3 linked regions of the Rattus norvegicus genome follow. The protein of the gene in region 2 purifies or fractionates together with the protein of the main gene of each other region. This does not show direct contact. Links are inferred from orthologs where the notes say so. Each region holds a gene or a part of one and is shown on either strand. Other genes may lie near its edges.

Region 1 (4,276 bases), on a different chromosome or scaffold from region 2:
ACTGAAGCTCGGCGGCACACATCCCCCTGACTCGCCTTCAGGAACTAACGACACAATACACATTCTTTTCCAGCCCAAGAATAAAGAAAATCTTCAAAAGTAACTGGGGCTGGAGAGATGGCTCAGCGGTAAGAGCACCCGACTGCTCTTCCAGAGGTCATGAGTTCAATTCCCAGCAACCACATGGTGGCTCACAACCATCTGTAAAGAGATCTGATACCCTCTTCTGGTGTATCTGAAGACAGCTACAGTGTATTTATATATAATAAATAAATAAATCTTTAAAAACAAAAAAAAAAAGTAACTGACTTGCCCAATCCCGAACCCTAGGCTTTTCATGTTGAGGTGGTTTAAACTGTCTTTAAAAAGAAATGCTGGCTGGTGATACTGCTCAGCGGAGGAAAGAGCCTACAAACCAAACCACCGGAACTGGAAGTCCAGGACCCACACACGGCAAGAGGAAAACTCCAAAGCTGTTCTCTGACAACCACACCTGTGCCAAGTTCTCTCACAAACACTGACCGAAAGATAAAATCTAAAAAGTGACTAGAGAAACATCCTTTTGTTAAATGTTGGAATGACAAAAGCCCCACTAATGAATCTATTGTGTTAAAACAATTTGCAGAAAATATTCCTGGATTAACTTAAAATTACCTCAAGTGGCTGGGCAGTGGTGGTGAACACCTTTAGTCCCAGCTCTGGGAGGTAGAGGCAGGGGGAATCTCTGAGATGAAGGACAGCCTGGTCTCCCGAGTGAGTTCCAGGACAGCCAGTGCTACACAGAGAAAGCCTGTCTCAAAAAACGAAGCAAAATTAAAAAATAATAATAATAATCTCAAGTGGTCCCAACTAATAGCTAACTCAAATTAGCTAGATGAATAAAATGATTGTTCAATTAATTAGTGTAATTAAATAAAAATTAACTGTGCTCTGAAGTTCAACATCTCTGAAGTATAGATTATATCCAAGGCAGTTACCACACATGACACATCAGAAGACAAAGGGGAGAACACTAATTGGAGTGTTTCTAACAAACAATATTACTATTAACCTTTGTACTTAAAAACAGCTAAAGCACCCCATTTCTGTAGAACCCCCCAAAGTGAAAGCTGTTAAAAAAGAGTGTTAGGTTACAGAACTTTATGTATGTTTTAATGGAATAGTAAACTCCCAGTAACAAAGGAATAAAACTTTGATATTTCAAATACCAAACAAAACAAAAAATACCGCGCACGCGTACACACACAAACACACACACACACACACACACACACACACACACACACACACAAAGCATGTTGGGCAAATGAGGAACAGGTTGGAGAGTAACAGAAAACAGTTAAGTGAAAGTATTACAGGGTAAGAATGTCCCACCAGAATAAGATTTTTCTCCCCCAAGTCATTTCTTGAATTGATTCAGACACCACGAGGAAAAGCTACAATTTTGTAACAACAACACATAAAGCTAACAGCAAGAAGTGGGAAGGAAGAGGCAAAACACTTAACCCAAGCACACCTTAACCCTTCCCTTGTTCACAACCCTGTGAAAATAGAGACAATGGAAACAGACACTCTCTCCCACCCCTAGAGAAAGCAAAGAAAGCGCCCATTCGACGCCCAGCCCTAGTTCTCTGGAATACACACTCCTGAAAGGGAAAAAAAAAAAAATCCCCAAACCACCAGCTCCCAACTGCCGCATGCAGAATTTACTGAATGGCGGCCAAGCGCTGTACACACTGTCCCGAGCCCCGCCGAGGGCTGTCCCAAGTTCTGCACGCTCTGCTTACGATCTGTACCTTCTTCCAACGCGTTCGCCACGGTTGCAGACACCAATGATTTAAAAAACGAGGCGCAAGCGCCCCACCTGGCTCATCCACAGGCGAAGATGAGGAGGAGGAAGATGATCACAATGCATTGGGCTCCCTTAGATTCATCCCTCCAACACACACAAAATGCTGCGTTTGGAGTCATGCACTATGGCCGGAACAGGAGTGGTGATAATCGCTGGGCCGAAGGGAATGAAGACTCCTAAAATAACTTTTATTTCCTTAGTATTATTGAGAGGGGGTGGGGTGGTGAGAGATGAGCGTGTGCATCAGAGTCAGAGGTGTGTGTTTGTGTTGTGTACACGTGGAGGTCAGAGGACAACTCGCGGGAGTCGGTTCGCCTTACCCACCATGTCAGTTCCGGGGATCGAACCCATGTCGTGTCACGCTTGGCTGCAAGCGCCGGTACCCGCTCAGCCACCTCAGAGGCCCGAACAGCAACTTTTAATTGGCCCTTCCTCCTCCGGACCTCCGAGGCCCTCGGGTCACCTGCCTGCCTGGTGCGAGCCGGCTCGGGAGCGGCAGGTGAGGGCGGTGCCCGGCCGGCACGCCCATCGCGCGGCCCCGCGGACGCGGCGAGGCGCTCCGTTATCCGCGAGGCTCGCAGGGCTCCGGAAGGCCAAGTTTCCTCCGCGTCCGGAGGGCGGCGTGGCGGAGCGACACGGGGCTCCCCGGACCTGTGGGCTGCGCGGGAAACAAAAGCCGCGCGCGGGCGAGAGAGCCGGCGCCGCGCTGAGGGGGACGCTGGTGAGGGGCGCCGGCCGCTCCGCCACCCACGCGGGGCCCAGGCCTCCCGCACGCCCCGTCCACGCCACCCCAGGGAAGCCGCGCTAGGGGCGGCAGAAGCGGGACCGCGAGCACGGGGCCGGCTCCCGGGTCCGCCGCGCGCGCGCGCGCACCATCCCCGCGGCCAATGGCGCCCGTACCTGTCGCCGCCGCCGCCGCCGCCACTGCGTCCCTCGCTTCGCGTCTCTCCGCCGCGCGCGCCGCTCAGCCCGCCCAGCAGGCCGCCGCTCCGTCCGCACGCTCGCTCGCTCGCTCAGCCGCGCGCCGGACACCGCCGCCGGAGACTGGCAGCGCCCGCAAGCCGGCTAGTGCGCCGGGCAGCGCCCGCCGTCGTCCCGCCCCCGCCGGCCGCAGGACCCGCCTCCCATAGGGCCGCGGGGCTGTCAATCCGCCCCCAAAAGGCGCGCGGGCTACCGCTCCGCCGGTCCTGATTGGTGGCCGCGCACTGTCTATGCAAATGAGCCTCCGCCCCGTTCGTTTGCATCCCCGCCTCTTCACCGCGGCCCACGTGTCTGGCCCTTGCCCTTTGTGGGGGCCGGAGAGGAGGGATGGAGGAAGCTGACTGATACCTCTTCTCGTTTGCCTCCAGACAGAATACGGACCAGACAAGCGCCTACCTCGTCCGTCTGTCTACCCAGCCCGTCCTTCACGAGGCCGCAGAGGTCAGGCCATGCTGACCCCGGGAAAATAACCTCATGAACTTAAAGATGCTCCTTTAGAGACTGGGAAGAATCCGATCTAGCACCTCTCTCTGGACACCCAGTGGGCGTGAAGACCACGCTTTCCCTTGGGATCTCTGCCTCTGCAACACAGCAGGTAATGAGGTCAGAAAAGAACCCAAAGGATGGGCTGTTGAGCCAAGTTCAGCTTCAAGATGGCACCCCTTCCCCCACCAACTCGCCACCTCTGGGTGACTCCTCAGACGCTCAGATGCTGCACCTTGGGACTTCAGCTCTAACTGTTGGTTTCTTAAAAGATTTTTAGAAGAACGTTTGTGATGAGTGTTTTGCCTAAGGAGGGTGTGTCTGTGTGTGTGTGTGTGTGTGTGTGTGTGTGTGTGTGTGTGTGTGTGTGTGTATCCTGTGAGTGCAGTGCCCAGAAGAGGGCGTCGGATCCCCTGTCACTGGAGTTGTAAGCATCCTGTGCTCTCCCAGAGGCTGGGAAAGCAACCAGCAAGTGCCAGTGCTCATAACAGCTAGGGATCTCTCCAGACACACACACACACACACACACACTCTCTCTCTCTCTCTCTCTCTCTCTCTCTCTCTCTCTCTCTCTCTGGGAGTAAAAGTCCCAATTGCCTATGAAATGTCTTGTAGCCATGTGAGAATCCATGTTTCCTGGTTCCACGTCTGCTTTTTGTTTTAGTTTTGGTTTAATTTGTATTGTCACACTTTAGAACTCAGGAAGATAAATGCCCCCGTGTATGGTGATATATATCAAATGTCTAAATGTCACCATGTGGGTGATCATATGGTCCTTCTTTCCCTATCCTCCAAGACGACTGTGGAAAAGACAAAACTGGTGTAAAGACCCCTGTCTAAGACAGGGGTCCTCCTCAGTCGCTCGCCTTTCCTCAATGATTGGAAACCTCCTTTAACCAACCTCCTGGGGAGTGGCCACATGAATTCAACAACACGCCGTGGATGGCGACTGTTCTGCTC
Region 2 (3,645 bases):
GTAAGTTATGAGGCTCACCTGGTCACGGCTGCCAATGTGGCTGTAGGGCAGTGAGCCGGTCATAAGCTCATAGAGCACAACACCATAGGCATAGACATCCGACTGGAAGCTGTAGGGGTTCGGGTCCTGCATTCGGATCACCTCAGCTGCCTTCGGTAGGCCAGACAGGGCAGGGAGACCATGAGGGTCAAAAAATGACTAGCCCACAGTACTAGATCCTGAGAGTTACACTGAGGACAACTCAGTGCCACCCACTAGAGGTGAAATGTTGGCAGTCCAGATACCCCCACCTGGCACAGGCATCCCTACTTTGCCTGGCATGCCCCAATCCAAAAGTCCACATCTCCCATTGGTCCCCATCTAGCCTGGCCCAACTTACCATCCACAGCACAGACCCTGAGGGCTGCTCTAAGGGCTGGGCCCCACTCCATCGTGTCTTCACTGTGGCCAGGCCGAAGTCACCAATCTTGACTGTGAGCCCCTCATGTAGGAAGATATCCAGCAGGGTCAAGGGCCATTACAAGGAATCCCAATAGCTATGCCTCATACATACCCTGACTGGATGATTCTCAGAACCCCTGTGCTAGTGGGTCATGTCTCTTGCCAGAAGTCACCCCCATTTCATTCTAACTATCCAACTGATGGGACCCCACTTGGTTCCATTGTGACCCAAGACCAACAAGTCCCATGGATGACACCTAAATCTGTCATGCCTTGGACACTGACCATGAGCTCCCTGTAATGTCATCTAGAACTACTAGATCTCACCTAACCAGGGCACCCAACAGTATGTGAACCATCTGACCCCTAAACAAAGGTCCTTCATTTAAAGGGTCCTTCACCAGGTATAGCTCTGTTACCTGACAAGAAACCACAGGCCCTTCCCTTTTCACCTCCCCAAACTTACCCCCCAAAATCATCCCTTTAAACTATCACTCTGATTAATACCCACCCCCAATGCCAGTCAGGGACAGGTAGATACTGTTGGACTTTAGGTCTCGGTGAATGATGTTCTTGGCGTGGAGGTAGCTGTGGAGATGGAAGTGGGTAGTGAATTATCTGGAGACTATTTCAGCTCTCCCTCCCACCTCCCCAACTCTCTAAGATATAAGGCTCACTCCATGCCCTGGGCAGTCTGCCGGGCCACATCAATGAGCTGGACCATGTCAAAGCGCGTGTCAGCCACATGTAGGTGGTGGTAGAGGCTGGAACCCTCACACCACTGTGTGATGATGGCAAACCCTGGCCGAGTCATGAAACCCATAAACAGCAAAATGTTGACATGTCGTGTCTTCCTGTAGGCAGGGAGGATAGGTTTGAGGAAGGGGTCAGGAAATAGAACAAGTGTCATGTGTTTACTCAGCAACAGGAAAAACAATGTCAGCTACCTTCCCTATCATTCATTTTACCTTGTCTTTAAGGGTGCTCAGGGCCAGAATGTTGTCAGATCCCAATCTGTGAGACTTGATGGGCTGCTGGAAGCTGAGTAGCGGTGGCTGTCCTGACCTTCCTCAACAAAATTCTATTTTATTTTATTATTTTCTTCTGTTTTTGAAACAGGGTCTCATGCTGTATACCAAGCTGGCCCGGAGCTCATTAAGTAGCCTGGGCAGGCCTCAAACTCTCAGTGATCCTTCTAACCCAACCTCCCAAGCACTGGGATCATGGGCATGGGCCACCACACTTGGCAGTGGCTATTTTACAGATGACAAAGTACAAAGCCAACCTTCTTCATCAATACTGATAAAGACAAGGTCAAGCCATGGAGACATGTGTGACATGGGAGTGTGATAGTTTACTAATCACTTGAAGAGACTTAGAGGTAAAGAGTCTGGACACAGGAACCAGGGCCAAACCTTTACCAGTTACAACCTTGGAGAGAACTTCTAACCGCTTTGGTCCTCTTGTTCCCAAACCATACAACTATCATCATTACAGCAGCTGCTTTATGAGGATGTTACAAAGGGTGAAGCTGAACAAACAGTAAACACTCTGAAACTTCCAGTTTGTTTCTGGTTACCTGGGTCTACCTCATGGAAACTGTCATGTACAGAAACCTCTTTAATATAGTTTATGAGAAAACCACATTCTTTCATATGAGTATTAACCACAGTTTGAATACACAAAAGCAAACAGGGATGATACTTAGATCACAGAAGACAACAAAACACCAGGACATTCCCATCTCATTTTGATACTTGAGATAGAACATAGGCTAAGCATATGCTCTACCACTGAGATTATACACAAGGATTAGTTTTGGTTTTTGAAACAGAGTTCATGTATCACAAACTGGCTTCAAATTCCTGATCCTCATGCCTCAGACTGCCAAGTTCTAAGAGTACAGACATGTACTACCACACTGCTACACAGATGCAAAAAAAAATTTTTGAGACTAGGTTTCATCATATAACCCAGATCATTTGAACAATCTGTGTATTTGTGAGTGTGAAAATATACATGTATGTGTTAGTACAAGTATATGCAGATTTAAGTGAAGTCCAGAGGTCAACCTAGGATATTGTTTCCAGGAGCTACTGGCTTTGTTTATATATTTACTTATCTTAGCAACTGTTCTGAGGCAGAGATTTTTCACTCAGACCTAGGGCATGCCAATTAGTCTAGACTGGCTGGCTGACAAGCCCCTGGAATCTTCCTATCTGTGTTTCTCCAGTGCTGAGCTTGTAAGCCTGTGCTGCCATACCCAGCCTTTTACATGGGTGCTAGAGAGCAAACTCAGGTCTTCATGTTTGCATGGTTAAGTATTTTATTACATTATCATAGCGGCTCTGGTTTCAAACTTTTGGTCCTTCTGCCTCAGCCTCCCAAGTACTGAGATTATAGGCATGTACCATCATTCTCAGCATAGGGATTCCTCTGTGTGTGTGTGTGTGTGTGTGTGTGTGTGTGTGTGTGAGAGAGAGAGAGAGAGAGAGAGAGAGAGAGAGAGAGAGAGGTGGGGGAAGGGGAGGAAGACAGACAGTGGGGGGGAGGGGAGGAAGAGAGGAAGACAGACAGACTTAATGTACAGGTGTGCATGTGCATCTGTGCACACAAATGGAGACCAGAGGTCAATGTCAGGTGTATCCTTTAATCACACTCTGCATTGTTTTGTATGTGGCACACATACATGATTGTGTGTTCACCTGTGCATCTGCATGGATAGAGAGAGACCAGAGGTTGATATTGGGTATCTATCTCCCTTGACTGCATTCCACCTCATTTTGAGACCAAATCTCTAACTAAACCTAGACCTCAACAATTACCTAGACTGGCTAAGCCCCAGTGATCCACTCTTGTCTCTGCCTTCCCAGTGCTAGGATTACAGGTATGCACCACTGCACCCAGCTTTTTACTTTTTATGTAGGTGCTGGGAATCCAAACTCAAGTACTTACATGGCAAGCACTTTACTGATGGAGCTATCTTCCCATCAAATATGAAGATTCCTTTGCATATATTTATCTGTGTATATAGAGCATGTTTGCCATAGTGTACATGTGGAGAACAGAGGACAACTTTCAGGAGTCAGTTCTCTCCTGCTACCATATAGGTCCCGAGGACTGAATGGATCCAGGTTGTCAGGCTTGGTGCTGAGCTACCTCAGCAGCATAAAGATTCTTTTTTTTTTCCACAAGAAAAGGGGT
Region 3 (4,144 bases), on a different chromosome or scaffold from region 2:
AGAGATCAAACCTAGGGTTATGAACATGCTAGACAAACATCCTTCCCACCAAGTCCCATCACAGCCCATCGTTCTCACTGCTAAAAGATAATAACGCCCTCCTCCCTCGGGGGTTTTATAAGATTCAAATGACAGTGTGCACGAAAAGCGTTCCTTCTAAATTACAGACTGTTAACGACAAATTAAATATGGTGTCAACTTGCTTTGTGGGTCCTGGAACACTGGCACATGCTAACAGGAACCTTAAACAGTCAGAAACCAAAGCAGGGGGTGGCCCGTTTCCCTGGCCCCTGCTGGCTGAGTGAACTGGGAAGGAGCTGCTCACCACATGATCGGTTTTGGGAGATGTGTAAGCAGCCGATCTCCCAGTCCTACCAACCATTATACCTCCTTGGCCAATGTCCAAAGCCCAGCCCCTGACCCACAGCTCCTAGAAGCTACTCAATAACAGACATGCTCCAGGTCTTCAATGTTTACTGACTCAAACGCTAAATTGATTTTCTTCTCTTTTAGTAAAATCATATTCATTCATAGGTCAGACGGACAGTTTGAAAAGTGATATTCAAGACCAGGACACATGGTGTTGACCTGAGCAGCCGGTCTTCCCGTGTTCACATGTGAAGTGCTCTGCTCTGGACTGAAGCATGTTGTGTATATCTGAGCTTCAACTTCTCATCTGCGCAATACAGATAACGGTAACTCCCCCAGAGACACGAGGCCTAGCCTACAGACTGATGCTAACATGGATGATTTATAAACTAGGATAACCACTAAAGAGTAAGGCGTTCGGCCTCGACAAGCGCAGAATCCCCATAGAGCTGGTCATGTAAATCAGGAAAGGACGGGATTATCTTTTTAGAGAAAGCACTGCAGGAGAGGAGGCGTAGTAATAAAATATTGTTTTAATGTAAGATGGTGTCGTTAATATCATAAGCCATTAGAAACAAACGGCATCTGTTACCGATTTATAAAACATTTTAAAGCATTTCGGACACCCCCCGAGGTCAGTTCATCCTGCAGGACATAAAGCCTTTGATGTGGTTTCAGTCCACAGAACCAGTTCAACTGAATGGAAGATGCACACTGGCTACCAACCAATGACTTACACTACCCCATCCACTGCTTTTCCCACACATGGGCACTAAGAAAGTTGGAGGGACGTCACAGGAGCGTCATCTTTCTCTACCCATGTTTGAAAAGCCTAATTTTAAAGTGTCCTGCTCTGTGACACTGTCCAGGTGGCTTCTAAAAAGGGCCCCCAAACCTTAAAAGGCAGCATCATCCCTCCCCCCATTTCTTTCACCTTCTGACAAACTTACTTCTAAGTGCGCATCACATTTTTAAAGAGAAACAAGACTTACAGAAATCTGCGCTTACTGGTAAAGGCCTTGAACCACTAAACACACAGTAAGAAACCCCCTTCAGCGCAACTGTTAATAAGTAACATAATTTAATCTCCTATGGGCCGGGAATTGAGATTCCTTTGACGTAGTCAGACATTAGAATGTAACACTAAGCAACCCCCAGACTTTCAAGAGGCCCCCAGGAGGAGAGGAGGGACTCAGCACATGGCCGGCAGGGATTAACTCAAGTTTCTGAACAATGACTCAGCTTGAGGAAGAGTGACAACTTCCTGAACCCTTCAAGGAAAAAAAAAATCGGAGCAGTTGAGAATGTACTGTCAAAGTTCGGAGCCTACCTCACAGAGGGAAACACTCCTCTCTTTTCAGAGGGGCTTTAATGCTGACCCCCTCCCTTCTCAGCATAGGTCCCTTTGTCTCCCTCCGGTTTGGGGGACATAGGGTTCAGGCTTCTCTTGTGGTTGCTACTCCAGAGACTAAAAGTTTCTCACCTTCTGGTTCTTTTCTCCTAATAGTAAAAATAGCGAACACCTCAATTGTAACAAACACTGCTTGTATTTTTCTGTGCAAACATACTGTGTTTGGTGGATGCACGGAGAGAGATGAAGACGCACAAGACTCTTAAGATTTTGGCTCATATTTCTGCTTATGCAGAACCTGGAGAAAACTAGGGAACAACATGTGTCAGGGTGTCTCCATACGATTTTCATGGAACAGCGCCTGCACACAATCAAAACTTGCACAACTTTGGAGACCTTAACGTTCCCACCAGATACACCGGGGCTCATGTTGCTAAAGCCAAGTATTCACAGCATCTGCTAGTAGTATTCACGATTTAGAAATTTTACTACAAGGCCGTCCCCGTGATAGAATCTCAGGGAGAGTGTGACGCCTGCCTTTGGTGTTTTCAGACCTGCGACTGGCACTTCCCAAGTGTCAGCTGTGTCTTCTAAACGCACAACATACACGGACAGACTGCAGAGGGCACTGCACGTGGTTAAGAGAAGGAAGGATGGTATCCAACTTCGGTATCTCGCGCGGCCCCTTTTGAGTCTGATTCTCGCTGGTCCCCCGGAGGGGCAGTCCTGGGTTTTTTCTTTTTTAAAACTTACTCTTGTGTTACTATGAAGTGATCTGGGGCAAAGAAACTTATTACAGGGGAGGGGGGAAGGACCACACCAACCTGCTGCCTGCCCCCTGGAAGCGGGAAAGTTAAAGGCAGAGGGGGACCGCGCCGAAGGATCTGGAAGTTCTGCAAGCCGCACTGGCTCGCCGCGCTGCCGGCCGGGGGAGGGGAGCCCACCCGGAGCGCGCCCCCGCCCGCGCGCGCCCCCGCCGCCCTCACCTGAGCTCCAGCTGGTCCAGGCTCTCCAGCAGGCGGCTGGAGCGGTCGGCCATGGAGGACGAGCGGCAGAAGCGGCCCTCGTGGGCCTTGGCGCTGATCTTCGCCTGGGCCATGAGCTCCGGGGGTCCTCGGCGTCCGCGGGTAGCAGTGGCGCGGGCCGCACGTCGCCGTCACCGCAGGCGCCGCTGACGCGGACGGCACCGCCCCCACCTCCCAGGCTCCCCACCCCCGAGGCCGCGCGGCCAAACAAGGGCAGGCGCGGGCGCAGCCGCCCGCACGCCTGGGTGGGGGACCCTGCCCCGGGGCGCCGAGGGCCCACGCCGTTCCTCCCAGCACCCACGATTCACAGCAAGGACGTAGTGGGTGCTGCCCGTGACGTGGGGAGAGCCGGAGACAATTCAGGACGCCCTAAAGGGCAGTCTCTACTTGCCCGACCTGTCGGGTGACCAGGCGGGCTCCGGAGAGTCCAGGGAAAGCCTGGACCACAGGCTCCAAATAAGGAGAAGCCAAGTGCATCTGTGTTGTCTTGCCTTTCCAATGAAAGGATTATTACTTTCACACATAACTTGTTTAAATCCTCTGCGAATGATATTCGGTAGGCTCATGTGTCAGAAGCTGTAGAGGTCAGCAGGGCTGAAGTACAAAGCCGCGTCCACTTAAAGTCGTGTTTTGCTCTCTCAATGCACAGGATACAGAAATGCACAGGGAAACAAAGTTCATTTACTTCCTTCACTCAGAACTCAAAGCCATTAGATCACTGAACAGAGACAAGCCCCTTAAGTACGACTGGCTTCTAGTCCCACCCCTCCACCCCCCACCCCATCCTTATCCTGAACTCATCTTAATACTAATGAGCGGTGGATTATCTTGGCTTCATTAAACACGGTCATCTCACGACACGACCGAGAAATCTGAACATTTTGTGGACGTCTTGGAAGTCTGAGCTTGGGCAAGTCTCAGGTCTAATGCTCCGCTGGAGGCTGAGACAGAGTTGTGTGAATTAGGCCAGAGTGAATTCAAGGCTAGGCTGGGAAGCTTCAGCAAGCGCCTGTGTCAAAAGAAAAATAAAAGGGGCTGCAGACACAGCTCTGCGGTAGAGTGTCTGCCTCTGTGCTAGGTTGGCAACTAAGCCAGGCAGATGTGGTTGTTTGAATTCCCCCTCCCTGTACTCTCTGTCCTCATCACCAGGGAGGACTTAGGTGAGGCCTCGCTGGAGGAAGTGTATCCCTATGGGCAGGTTTGAAAAGATTCAAGCTATTCCTAGTGTCTCTCTGCCTCGACTTGGGTTTGAGATGTGAGTGCTCAGGGCATCTCTGTGGCCATTATAGACTCAGACCCTCTGTATCTAAGTTCAATTAAATGCTTTATTTTACAGGTTGCCTTGGTCATGATGTTTTATCACAGCAGGAGGAAAGTAACTAAAGTAACAAGCATCTTC

Evidence for each region. Proteins that work in one complex are often made in the same cells at the same time.
Region 1: the proteins of Araf (region 2) and Fkbp5 purify together in Homo sapiens (affinity purification with mass spectrometry; 4 studies listed by BioGRID and IntAct, with this or other methods). This does not show direct contact. The link is inferred for Rattus norvegicus from reciprocal best matches to the Homo sapiens genes ARAF and FKBP5.
Region 3: the proteins of Araf (region 2) and Bag2 purify together in Homo sapiens (affinity purification with mass spectrometry; 3 studies listed by BioGRID and IntAct, with this or other methods). This does not show direct contact. The link is inferred for Rattus norvegicus from reciprocal best matches to the Homo sapiens genes ARAF and BAG2.

Annotation. Positions count from the first base shown.
Region 1 is NC_086038.1:6,540,717-6,544,992, forward strand, and holds the start of Fkbp5 (peptidyl-prolyl cis-trans isomerase FKBP5), read right to left. Parts: upstream 2,840-4,276; 5' UTR 2,753-2,839; intron 2,702-2,752; exon of another isoform or gene 2,204-2,701; coding exon of another isoform or gene 2,177-2,203; intron 1-2,176. UniProt on the Homo sapiens protein: Immunophilin protein with PPIase and co-chaperone activities. Component of unligated steroid receptors heterocomplexes through interaction with heat-shock protein 90 (HSP90).
Region 2 is NC_086039.1:3,782,570-3,786,214, forward strand, and holds part of Araf (serine/threonine-protein kinase A-Raf), read right to left. Parts: intron 1,296-3,645; coding exon 1,119-1,295; intron 1,030-1,118; coding exon 983-1,029; intron 499-982; coding exon 380-498; intron 151-379; coding exon 19-150; intron 1-18. UniProt on the Homo sapiens protein: Involved in the transduction of mitogenic signals from the cell membrane to the nucleus. May also regulate the TOR signaling cascade. Phosphorylates PFKFB2.
Region 3 is NC_086027.1:43,473,799-43,477,942, forward strand, and holds the start of Bag2 (BAG family molecular chaperone regulator 2), read right to left. Parts: upstream 2,840-4,144; 5' UTR 2,820-2,839; coding exon 2,707-2,819; intron 1-2,706. UniProt on the Homo sapiens protein: Co-chaperone for HSP70 and HSC70 chaperone proteins. Acts as a nucleotide-exchange factor (NEF) promoting the release of ADP from the HSP70 and HSC70 proteins thereby triggering client/substrate protein release.